2 linked regions of the Bombyx mori genome follow. The protein of the gene in region 1 purifies or fractionates together with the protein of each later gene. This does not show direct contact. Links are inferred from orthologs where the notes say so. Each region holds a gene or a part of one and is shown in the gene's direction. Other genes may lie near its edges. The genes, in order: serine/threonine-protein phosphatase 2A 55 kDa regulatory subunit B alpha isoform and serine/threonine-protein phosphatase 2A catalytic subunit beta isoform.

Region 1 (6,490 bases):
ATAGGCAGCTCCATTCTGTGCTGATATTAAATTGTCTAGTTTAAATCAAATCAAATCAAATCAAATCAAAAAATTTTTATTCAACATAAATGAAAGTACATACTTGTTGAACGTCAAAAGAACTACCGCCAATTCACAAGAACTAGCCTCCGTCCTGAGAAGAATTGGCAAGAAACTCAGCGGGCATTAAGGGTCCGTCCCGCTTTTAAAACAGGCACCCATGACTGCTATGCGGCAAAAATAGGCCGAGTGATGGGCGCCTCACCGCCAATTTTTATGTAAATTATAATTTTAGCGGGTTTGAATGGTATTGCATATTGTTATTTCTTAATTGTTGAAGTTGTTTATGAATACATGCTTAGTACGTATTTCATTAGAAAAGTTAGTACCAGCTTTAAAGATAATATAAAGATTTAAAGCTGCATAGTCGCATTGTTCACACGCGTTCCCCCGGACGTCTTATCCTTTATGCCTAGACGACTTCAAAATGGTTCGTGATGGTCAATGGTGAATTTATGCTAGAGGCAGTCAGGGCGAGTGCCCAGGGCGGCAAAATTTTGAAAATGAAAAAAACTTTTTGTGCCTTATCAAGATTGCTCAATATAATTAATTAATTTTATTTATTAACAATTTTCTGTTTAATTGATAATTCAATTCATCCGTTATTCGCGCCCAGTAGTGGCATTAAGTTTAAATCCAGTCATGGTGATAGTTGAGTATTTTCTTCCTAATTGCTCTTCGTTTCTGGCTAAGTGCTTTTCAGCCATTTCTTGTTTTCCGCTCCGCTTTGTGGGGAACGAAGTTCAAATCTAAGTTCTTACGCCTCCTATTATTTTGTAATTTATTTCGATGTTGGATCCGATTCAAATTAGCTTTACTTAATTGCCTCGACGTCATGGTTCAATCTTTTCCTGGTCGACGCTTCAATCATGGCTACACAGGAATTTCAGTGGTGGAAGTGAGCCTGAATATACGTGCGCTTTCGCATTATTCCTAACGATCGTTTAATTTTATCAATTTTCGTATTTTTTTATGACACGAGTTTCATACTACACATTGATAAATATTAGTTCAGAAAAAAAAGCAACCGTCTCAGTTTTTGAACAGCAGTAAAAGTTATATTATATTCACTTGCTAGTCACTGGACTTTTATCTATTAGGCCACAGAAAATTCATTACTAGTGTATATAGTCAAACCATTGAAACTAGATTTATAGTTTAAGTACGGAATGCATCTGAATGAGTACATTATAATTGTCAGCTATTTATAGCATTCAATTACACGGCCGTTTCATTTGCACTTCTTTCGGAATGCGTCACATGTCGCTGTGCCTATTGTACGTGTTTCATTGTTTTAAACCACCCTACAAAACGCGCACAAAAGAGTATATAGTATTACCGTAAGAATATACGCTTTTATGTGTATGGTATAACGAAATTGATGAGAAAACAGGTTGGGAAATGCGACTTTTAATCATCATTTACCTTACAGGCATGCCTTAAAGCTGTACAGGAATAGTGTTCCTAAAATATATATATATATTGTAAAATGTGCATTAATCTCAGACTTACTATGTCGGAGTGTTATTAATAAGTTTTAGTTCAATGAAAATGTTAAAAAAGAAAGAAGTGCCCTGGTATTCAAATCGTCGTATAAGGATACAGGATAATATTGCAAATTGGAGGCATTCATCGTGTCGTCAACATTGGAATACACTATGTGACTGTATGTAGTTACCATGATATGAAACTATCAAATATGTAGTAGCTTCTGGTATTATAGTGTATTGATGGTATATTTTGTAGTGACCGTAAATGAAAAAAGTACTAAATGAAATTAAATGATGGGGTAACACTAGGTACTAGTTTTGTTGAGAGTAAGAATAGTGTTGCAAGAACCTTTTGCGCTTTCTCATATGCTCTCAACTAACATTCCTTCGTTTTAAATTACTGATTACCGAATTTTAATGTGACTAACAGTTTTGTATTGTGTGACCAATAAAACAGTAGAAAATGTCAATATGTTGATATTGTTTTTAATTTTCTATCTTTATTTTCATTTTAACATAACATGGATTTTGGAGGGAATTAAAATTTAATTTTTATATGTAAACATAAACGTTTCCCTTTAAAGTCTATGTATATAAATAACATCATAGTTCCTTTTTATAAATTTATATCTTAGCATACATTGCATTTACAGTTTTATCTTTACTAACATCTATTGATTCCGATATAACTAGTTTTAAGTAGTAGTTGAATAATTTTAATTATTATTTAAAATTTGGTTTTGCATATTTATAATTCACCAGTATTTAATGTATAATTTTAGGTAAGTTAATTCAGTTGTCCACAAGTAATATAGTATCATTGAGAAATTAGCTGGTTTATTGCCCACCTGATATTAAATGGTTACTAGACACTATAAATATCATAATTTGAAAGCCACCACCCACTTTGTGACACAAAGGTCGACCTTTCAGTTGTATTGAAATAAAGAGTAACCTGTCTTTAATTAGACCTCAGTGTAGGGCATTTGGATAGACCCTACACTCAGTATTGGGTGAACACTGGTTGAAGAAGGTAGGGCTTAAACAACTATTATACTTTCACTAATGAAAATTGATATTATTTCAAGTCGATTGTATTTTTATTTTTATTGCTTAGATGAGTGGACGAGCTCACAGCCCACCTGGTGTTAAGTGGTTACTGGAGCCCATAGACATCTACAACAGACGCGCCACCCACCTTGAGATACAAGTTCTAAAGTCTCAGTATAGTTACAACGGCTACCCCACCCTTCAAACCGAAACGCATTACTGCTTCACGGCGGAAATAGGCAGGGCGGTGGTACCTATCCGCGCGGAATCACAAGTGGTCCTACCACATATAACATTTTAAAGAGTAGAGTAAACAAGCTACTGTGAATTCCTTTTCAAAAACAATTCTCTAAAAAGGGGGGTAGAATGTCCTAAATGTAACAGTGTACGTTTTTCTTGTTCTAGGCAATGGTGGGGAGACGACGTGGTGTTTTAGTCAGGTGAAAGGCACCCTCGAGGATGACGTGACGGAGGCCGACCTGATATCCTGTGTAGAGTTCAACCACGACGGCGAACTGCTGGCCACCGGCGATAAGGGCGGCAGAGTTGTTATATTTCAGGTAATTTTACTGGTACTGGTATTTTACTGGTGGTAGGACCTCTTGTGAGTCCGCGCGGGTAGGTACCTTCCACCCTGCCTATTTCTGCCATGAAGCAGTAATGCGTTTCGGTTTGAAGGGTAGAGCAGCCGTTGTAACTATACTGAGACCTTAGAACTTATATCTCAAGGTGGGTGGCGCATTTACGTTGTAGATGTCTATGGGCTCCAGTAACCACTTAACACCAGGTGGGCTGTGAGCTCGTCCACCCATATAAGCAATAAAAAAAAAACAGGTAATATACCTGACATCATATTATTATATCATATATCATTACAGAAGGAGACTCGAACACGAGTAGGTGACACTTTCTCGATATGTATTGTGGTTATTAGTGACTGATTGTATGAAATCTTTATGGCTAGTATAAAGTACCATACGTTTTGAAACTATTAAAGCGTGTGCCTAGCCGACTTAACCTAATAGGTGTATGGCTCTAATAAAGAATTAAAAAAAAATTAATTAAAAAAAAAAAAAAAAGCGTGTGCCGTCTTTTAAATTAAATTTTGATTGATACCAGCTTTATCATCGTGTAAACAGCTGAAAGTGAGAGTCATATATTGCATGATAATCGCATACGATAATCTCGCCGCTTGTATTAGAGAACTTCAATTTTTTTTTCTTCGTGCATTTGTTATTGTATCGACACCAGACGAGCTTGTATTATACGTATGTAGATTATGCTAATATTTAACACTCTTTGTACTAATTTTAAAATCGTGAAGTTTTTAGTCTCGGTTGCATTGATAAAACATGGGTTCCACATCAAGTACTGATGATACTGGAGTTGAAGTTGAGGAATATAAAAAAAAATTATTGACGATACCACTACAAAACCGACAATGAGGTTATATAGTAGGAGCAATAGCCAGATAAAGTATATAAGATGCTCTGGGTTGAAGCGTGCTGAATACATTTAAAATTGATTGCGTATCTAATCATAATGTATCAAAGCTAACATTTACATAACAATGACTGTATGTTGCTGGTTCGTGAGCAAACCTGGGTTGTTGAGAATTATTCTTATCTATATTATGTTTTTTTTTTATTGCTTAGATGAGTGGACGAGCTCACAGCCCACCTGGTGTTAAGTGGTTACTGGAGCCCATAGACATCTACAACGTAAATGCGCCACGCACCTTGAGATATAAGTTCTAAGGTATCTCAGTATAGTTACAACGGCTGCCCCACCCTTCAAACCGAAACGTATTACTGTTTCACGGCTGAAATAGGCAGGGAGGTGGTACCTACCCGTGCGGACTCACAAGAGGTCCTACCACCAGTAATAACGCAAATTATAATTTTGCGGGTTTCATTTTTACTACACGATGTTATTTTCCTTCACTGTGGAAGTCAATCGTGAACATTTGTTAAGTACGTATTTCATTAGAAAAATTGGTACCCGCCTGCGGGATTCGAACACCGGTGCATCGCTACATACGAATGCACCGGACGTCTTATCCTTTAGGCCACGACGACTTCAAAATGTAATTTGGGTTGAATTTTTGCAAGTCGAAATAAGTTGTACAAGTGAAAGTTTTTGAATTCAAGTCAAAGATTAAACACACAAATTCTTGTTTCAAATGATTTGATATGCCACTTCTTATATTCAAAGGATTTAATTTTCTGCGTTTTGTTATAAGATTTTAATACGAGCATCTTGTTCAAATTTCTATCGTTTTTTTTTTTAAATATAATCCATTCAAATAATATGCCATTCTTAAATAATTCGAAAAATCAGGTTTTGTCCTTTAAATCATAATCCGTTGGTGTGTAAAAAAATGTGTTAATGAGAATGCTTTGATGGGAATATAACAAAAACATTCTCTAGAGTAACAAAAAGCATTATACCAAGTTCCATTATCATCCCATGGATGTTGTAGGAAGGTATAGAGGGCAAAAATTCATTGGTGTAGATACATAAGACTAACATAAGCAGATAACAAATATTAATTTGCCAAACTAGATACTACACATGCTTGCTTTTTTATAAATATATTAAAATTCATTCGGTGTGATAAACGGTAGTAGAATAAGACTTTTAGACAGCAATATTGAGACGTTATTGTGTGAAACCTTCACACTACCCACCCGTCTTAAATTAGGAGGATGGTTATATTACTGCATTGTACCCTGCGTGAAAAATTATTTTCCTTACTATTTGTTACTAAGTTCTTGTTCATTGTAACAACAAAAAAACGTTGATAAAATAAATATACAACTACTTGGTAACGATGTGATCACGATAGTTTTAAATCAAGATAAATATTTACGACACGAACGTCGGAAAACGTCGTAAAGTCGATTCTTTGAAGTGAACGCGTGTAGTAACTATTTTTAATTACGTTATCCGTCATCTCTATGAAGGAGGGCCACTGAATTTGAAAGCATTTTTTTTTGTAAGATTATTTCTTCTATTACATGATAATAATATATGCTAGTTGATATATTTACGATCGATTTTCTACAAATGTTGTATAGCTTATTTTACATCAATCACCCCGGTCACCGTCCTCGTCGAACCCGTCGCTTGCGACGAAGGGCTCGACGAGCGAATTAATCCATAGAAACAGCCCACGGAGTTTCTCGCCGGATTTTCTCAGTGGGTCGCGTTTCCGATCCGGTGGTAGATTCTGCGAAGCACTGCTCTTGCTAGGGTCAGTGTTAGCATCACTCCGGTTTAAGCCCCGTGAGCTCACCTACTAGTTGGGTTACTGAAATAGCCTCTCAAGGCTATAAGCTTAGGTAGGGAAAAATACAATCTTGGAAAAATAATTTACGTAGGTCAAAGCACAATCGAAACAGTACCTATAGTGAATTAAAAAAAAAAACAAATTTAGTAGATGAATACATTTTCTCCACATAATTTATCCTTGATATAATTAAATTTCAGAGAGATCCAGCATCAAAGCAGTGTGTACCCAAAAAAGGAGAATACAACGTTTATTCGACGTTTCAATCCCACGAACCAGAGTTCGATTACCTGAAGTCCCTTGAGATCGAAGAGAAAATCAACAAGATCAGGTGGCTGAAGAGGAAGAATCAGGCCCATTTCTTACTGTCCACCAACGATAAGACTATTAAATTATGGAAGGTTAGTGCATCCCTGTGAGTTTCTCTATATAGCATGTTAACGTGTTTATAAAAAACTAGCAAACCGCTCCAGCTGCGCTCGGGTCTTTAACAAAATTTTCAACGATATTTGACGTTGTTTTATTTTTTTAAATAAAAGAACACTTATTGCGGCATAGGTAACTATATTAGTTAGACATATGCTGTCGCGACACTTTT
Region 2 (7,081 bases), on another chromosome or scaffold:
TTTCAACAGCTGTGAACGCTAAACGATAATTAACGAACTAGATTAGACTTTTGATACATCTAAGCATTGAAGGAATCAAGGCAATTTATAACCCTTTTCATAAATAGTACACTAACCTTGACAGTTCTGTCCCAACCACAGGATACAATAATGGGGTTGGCATGATTGGGTGAGAATCTGACACATGACACCCAATCGCTGTGTCCATCATCTTGGATGGTATACTTGCACTCCGCAAGGGTGTTCCAGAGTTTGATAGTCTTGTCGCGAGAACCAGACACTATCTGACGGTTGTCAACTGAGAAGGCTACCGAGAGTACATCCTGTGATATAAACAAAAAACTTATCAATTCAACTACACTTAGAATTGTTAACAGACTGTTGTATGATGGTCGGTATATTTACAATACTATAATTATACTACCATCTTACCTCAGACTTTTACAACACAAACACAATCTTCTGCCTCGCAAAGGCACAAAACACTGGTCTTCTGCCTCGCATAGGCACTTAGGATTATCTTCAGTGCATAATCAGCATTTACACCCTAACAAAATTAAGAGTTCTGTCACACCTTAGTATGGTCCTCGAATCGTCTGGTAGTCTTGCCTGCAGCGAGATCCCACAAACGCAAAGTCTTGTCCCAAGAACCGGAAAGGGCGTAATTACCGTCACTAGACAGCACAACATCAGAAATGAAGTGCGAATGACCGTATAAACGCTTTTGAGGTATACCGTAGTTGTTTTCGTCTCTGGTCAGCTTCCACACGATGAGAGTTTTGTCTGAAGATAAATTTCAAATTTTATTCGAATGTCTCATTTTCTATATGTATATTGGATCCTACAGTAACAAAATATTCAGCCCCATATCCGCTTGCCGCTCACAACAATCGCGTGGCAAAGTTTTACTCATCATGTTATTTTGTTGGTAAATGGTAGTATACAAGAAAACTGATACGTATTTAACCCAGGTTATTGCATATTTGCACGGTTATTGAGATAATGATTGTAAAGATGTATCTGGATTTATTAGCAAACTTACCTCGAGAGGAAGATAAGATCATGTCCGGGTATTTCGGATTAGTTGCAATTTGAGTAACCCAGCCATTGTGGCCTCTAAGAGTTCCTCGGAGTTTTAATGTTTCAGACATTTTTGAAAATGGTTTGAAGAGCGACGACTCCCTGAAGCGTCAGGTCCGGTAGCACGTGTTAAAAGAACACGAAACCTACGGTGATGGCCGACCATCGACCGCGAACTAGAGATGCCCAAATCAGTCGAGTCAAAGAGGCGACAACTTTTCAGGGTTGACCTAGTCGACTACATCGATTGTAAAACATCGCGATGATTTATGAAATCAATTTTCTAAATTATTAATCCCGTAGTTGAATAAGAGACCATTACTATAAGGTAATTTGTGATTTTTAAATGGAAATCTCGAAATTGATTTACTACTCGCTGGGGCAAATGGCCGGCGTCCGAGACAAATTGAAGCCACAAATCGAAACGAAAAATCTGTCTACTACTGCCGAGTGTGAAGCACGATTTAAAAAAAAAACAATTTTTTATATTTGAGAAATTACCGGTGGCCCGGAGGCCTTTCCAGTTTTACCAGGGCAGGTGGGCGAACAAGGGCTCAGCCAGAAAGGGTGGGATTTACTCGAGCGCCTCCAAAGGAGACCTAACAACTTGAGGGAGCTCATATAGAGTCCCTTCTTTATTTCGCCGTAAAGTCGTGTTTTATATAATTAACACCACAGTTGAAACAATATAAATTTTATTGTTGTAGCGACATAAACAATTCTAAGTAATTATATTACATTAGTTATTAAACACATTATAAATTATTTTTACGTTTTAAATTTTCGGCGGTAAAAAGGTCCCGTGTCACAGACTAAATTCTTTTACCTCTCGTGCATTCTGGCGTACGCATCATAAAAAGGTGCGTTATTGAACGCCACAAACTCAAGAACAGCTGCTTCACGAATAAATCTACTACCGGATCGGAATCGCGACCCGCTGAGAAGATCCGGCGAGAAACTCAGCGAGCTAATGCCTAGGTTAGGTTGCAAGTCGAATTCTTTGTCGAGTTCGACGAGTACGGTTATCGAAAAACCGAGCGTGCTTTATCACACGAAAGAAGTAAAACTTCTTTATACCCATCCCTATGTGTATATATATACATATATGGTTCTAAGGTCTCAGTATAGTTACAACGGCTGTCCCACCATTCAAACTGAAGAAATAGGCAGAGTACGCTCCAGGCTGGTACCTACCCGTGCGCTCTCACAAGACGTCCTACTACCAGTAATTATGCAAATTTCAATTTTTACTGGATTGATATTCATTAAACGATGTTATTCCTTCACCGTGGAAGTCGATCATGAACATTTGTGAAGTACATATTTCATTACAAGAATTGGTACTTGCCTGCAGGATTCGAACTCCGTTGCATTGCTGGATGCGAATGCACCGGACGTCTTATCCTTTAGATCACGACGACTTGTCTTCGAAGTCTTAATTCTGCATAACGAGTGCCCACTTTTGGGTAACTACCTGTGGAATTTTGAACACCACAGCATGTACGCATCGCTTAATATGGTGATAAGTAGAGCAGACACCTTATTTTTTAGGCCTTGACGAAAATATATTTATCGACTTTCCTTCGGATTTTAAGATATTTGTTAATATCAAATTAAATTCTTAATGATTAATCGGAAAAGGTAAAAAATCTGAACGCAGCTAAAAATCAAATGGCACCACATGGTAGTTCCATTTTTGACCACTAGAGCTCTTCTTCTTGAGAAAATTGACGTCACGCAAACGCCATTTTGTAAAGTGTCCGCTTTAGTCAATTTTTTGAAAAAGTGTAAAATAGTTATTTCGCATGATTTTGTGTACATTAAATACCTAATAAAAGCCAAAGTTTGAATTAACGTCTTGTACGTTAATCACACACATAATTATAATGGAGGACAAGGCGTCGCTTAAAGAACTAGATCAATGGATACAACAGCTAAATGAATGCAAGCAATTGACAGAAAATCAAGTTAAAACGTTATGTGACAAGGTATGTACTATGATAGTTTCGCTTATCTAATTGTCGCTAATATTCAGTTAAAATTCAAATCTTAGGTGTAATTTGAATGTTTAAGTTGTATGATTCATGTACCTACATTTCAAGAAGTTATCGGGTATCGGTATTCTTCGGATAGGTCTTGGGAAGCTGGTTGTCGTTGGTTTGGTAATCGTTTGAAAATATGGGGGCTCTACAACATTGCGACGCTAGTTCTAAATTATTGATATTGTTTACCACACCCAATTTTTGTTCATAGTTAGTTACTTAATATTCTAATTGTTCGAAAGATATTTTTAGACATGCACGGAAGCTGCTAATCAATTAACATTATCCATTTTATGTCCAATTTAGGATTGTTTAAATAGGTTAGAAAGGTTATTAAATGTTTGCATGAATATTGTTTTTTGTATGATAGATAAGAGAAAAAACTAAACAAAAATAAACAGAATGTTGGTTCAATTGAATTATGATGTAAAGTTTGTTTTAATGTCATCTAAGTCACTGGAGTAAAAATGTAGGAAGTGCATCATGTTCTGTGATTCCACCAACATCTTTATTATTATAATTTTTTTAAATAAACAGAACATCATACAGTTGTTCCCATCACCTGTTTTTTTTGACCTGATTTTGCAGTGCCTAGACCTACAATATAATGTAAATGCAATTGTAGAGGGTGCAGCTGAACAATTAATTCAAATATTCATTATTTTAATGTAATTATTTCTACATTCTACATTTTTAGTTACAGTAAGAAAGTCAAAAAGAGAATTATACAATTTTAAGTAACAAAGATCCATTACCAACAAGCACCTATAATTGTTTGACTTCTAAATAGTTCTATGCTCATCTATTAATTATTATTTTTCAATTAAAGTTTTCTAACTAAATTTCTGTTTATTAAAATAACTTGAAGATAAAAGAAAAAAACAATTCTTAAAGCTCCTATGATGTTTTTTTTTTTGTTTCAAACTCAATAAATATTTTGATATTTAGAGTATGAAGAATTTTTATAGATCAACTCATCTGTGAACATTACATACAAACTACATATAAAATCTTGCATATGTGTTTGACAATGAAATGAATTGTTTAGTTTGTATGTGGTTTAAAGTGCCATATTGTGATGTACTTTAGATAACATAATTTTTTTTTATAATTGAAATTGATTCACAAGTAAAAAATTCTACATTATGAACATTTGTAGATAAGTGTTGAGCAAACCTAAGATGAAAACTGTGTTTAGCTGAGAATGAAGACTGATGAAATTGTGTAAAATTAACATTTTTCCTCTGTACAATATTTACCTATTTGGCTACTGATTTTTTTTATTGTTCAGATGATTGAATAATCATGACCAATAAATTCTTCATTGATTATTGGAGTAAACATATATTGGAATAAATGCCACACACCTTAAGATATAGGTTTGAAGTTTCAGTTATCTCAAAGGGCTATCCCACCCAATTACTGCATTATGCCAGAAATATGCAGGATAGTATTAAATACTTTTTTTTTTATATCTCTGTTTATTTGCTGGTAGCCTAAAGGGCTATTCCAGTTACACGCGGATGGGTACATGACACTCCACTGGTACAACCTGGGAGAACTAGCACTAGCCCTTGTAAGAGCAGTGCTTTGCAGTATCGGCAACCACTGGATCAGAATTGCGACCCATTGAGAAGATCCTGCAAGAAACTCGATTGGTTGTGTCTACGGGTTATTTCACTTGTCGAACTCTTCATCATAATCAGCAAGTTTGATGATTAATGATGACCGGTGCTTGAAGAGCCTTAAAACACCGAGAGTAGATCAGGGGGATCCGACAAGACGTGTTTCGGGCAACGGCGGCTTTACCTTGCCCTATCGCCCATATCGAAATACTAGTGTACGCCTACAAATCAACCCACTACCAGGAATTATGCAAATTTGTAGATTGTAATTAGTATATAATACACAATCATTTATCATGGATATCATTTAAGTAATATACTTACTAAGTATTTGTTTAAATAACTGACAACTGCTGGTGAGATTGAACCCTGGATTTGCTTGATATGAGTACACATTATCCTTTTGGCTTACAAAAACTTCTGATGATCCTTGATTAATCCTGTTACATAGCAATTTGGAAGAAAAAGATTGCAAGCTTGAGCTTGCTGAAGCTGAAGAGCTTGCAAGATTAGAATGTTAAAAAGTTAAATAATATAGAATTTCAAACAACCTTATAATTAATGGTAAAACGTCTTATGAGTTCGCACGGAGAGGTACCACAACCCTGCCTATTTCTTTGGTGAAGCAGTAATGTGTTTCGGTCTGAAGGGTGGGACAGCCATTCTACTGTACAGTGACCTAGTGAAATTCATAGGTAAAGGTAGGTGGCCGCATTTACGTTATAGACGTCTATGGGCTCCAGTAACCACTGATCACCATGTGGGTCGTGAGCCCTTCCACCCATATAATAATATAAAAAGTGTGGATAAACATAATTTGAATTTTGTTCTAATTAGACACTACTTTTGTAAATGCTACCACCTTAGTTTTACGTGCCTAGAAAATCTACATGGATCTAGTCCAAAATGTGATTAAATATTGTATTTGAGTCGTCTATTATCAAAGGCGGCAATCTGTACATTTGGACAAAAAATTTTTATTGATATGTCAATGCAGATTTATTTGAATATAATCGTCTCCTTCAAAGAATACGGTTCAAAACCTGCATTAAATAAAGGTTAATACTTAACCTGTTATTTATCTAAGATGTCGTTCCGAAGAGTTTTGTGACTGCCAATGGAATACAAAGTCAATAATTCGTTTTTCTGATTTACCAATCATTGTCCAAAAGTCAGATTGCCGCCTTTGATAATAGTCGACTCATTTTTAACTAGTTAAATTTTCTAGTGGTTTGAGGAGACCAAAATTTTTGTAAACGATTCCATCCATCCATCAAGATTCCAGATTTTGGTATTATATTTTCATTACATTGATGGGTGAATGAGCTCATGGCTCATCTGGGGTTAATTAAGCATTAAGTTAATCCTAATAAATGATGATAGACAGGGATAGTACTTTCTACCTGTGTAGGCCGACAGTACACCCCACCACCAGTAAATACAAAGATATACTACATATTTGTTTATCAATAACATAGTTATTAATAAATATCTTTTTTTTTTTTTTTTTTTTTTTTATTGCTTAGATGGGTGGACGAGCTCACAGCCCACCTGATGTTAAGTGGTTACTGGAGCCCATACACATCTACAACGTAAATGCGCCACCCACCTTGAGATATAAATTGTAAGGTCTCAGTATAGTTACAACGGCTGCCCCACCCTTCAAACCGAAACGCATTACTGCTTCACGGCAGAAATAGGCAGGCAGGCAGGCAATATATCTGTTCAGACCATACTTAATGTATGCTTCATCAAAGATTGAATTGAGGATATTAATGCAGTGACACTGTTACAGGCCTCACATAACATAAACACTTTTTGCAATTATCAAAATGTCCTAATTCATATACATATATGAAGCAATACTTATATTGTTTTCATATTGTAATTTAAAATATTAAGAGATTGAAATTTTTCAAATATGCTATAATTGAAATTCACTTAGTGAAAACACATTTTAGTCACAGAGGCTATTAAGTTATAATGACATATTGATAACTTTCTTTGAAAACATTTTGAAGGACTTTTGGACTTATTCCTGATTGTAAAATTGTTTTTTGACTACAATGTCACTCTATCTATCATTTGCTATCATACAATTTGAAAGTGGGGACGGTCTAAATGTAGACTTGGGTAGATTATTTTTACTATGAGCTTAACCTCACTATTTTAAATTGCTTTTTAAAACTATGCACTTGAAGCACTGTTTTACTAACTATATAGTACTTTTACTTTTCTAGTGAGTTATTAGATGCAATGATAACAGGATACCCTTCTTTAGTAAATCAAATGCATATTTTGATTATGTAATCTGAAATGTTCATTGTTTTCACA

Evidence for each region.
Region 2: the proteins of serine/threonine-protein phosphatase 2A 55 kDa regulatory subunit B alpha isoform (region 1) and serine/threonine-protein phosphatase 2A catalytic subunit beta isoform purify together in Caenorhabditis elegans (affinity purification with western blotting; 3 studies listed by BioGRID, with this or other methods). This does not show direct contact. The link is inferred for Bombyx mori from reciprocal best matches to the Caenorhabditis elegans genes sur-6 and let-92.

Annotation. Positions count from the first base shown.
Region 1 is NC_085132.1:3,794,009-3,800,498, forward strand, and holds part of serine/threonine-protein phosphatase 2A 55 kDa regulatory subunit B alpha isoform, read left to right. Parts: intron 1-3,005; coding exon 3,006-3,160; intron 3,161-6,092; coding exon 6,093-6,293; intron 6,294-6,490. UniProt on the Caenorhabditis elegans protein: Probable regulatory subunit of serine/threonine phosphatase let-92.
Region 2 is NC_085109.1:3,343,709-3,350,789, reverse strand, and holds the start of serine/threonine-protein phosphatase 2A catalytic subunit beta isoform, read left to right. Parts: upstream 1-2,783; 5' UTR 2,784-2,966; coding exon 2,967-3,068; intron 3,069-7,081. Other genes in the region: Rack1 (receptor for activated protein kinase C RACK 1), read right to left, coding at 117-323, 575-783, 1,043-1,151.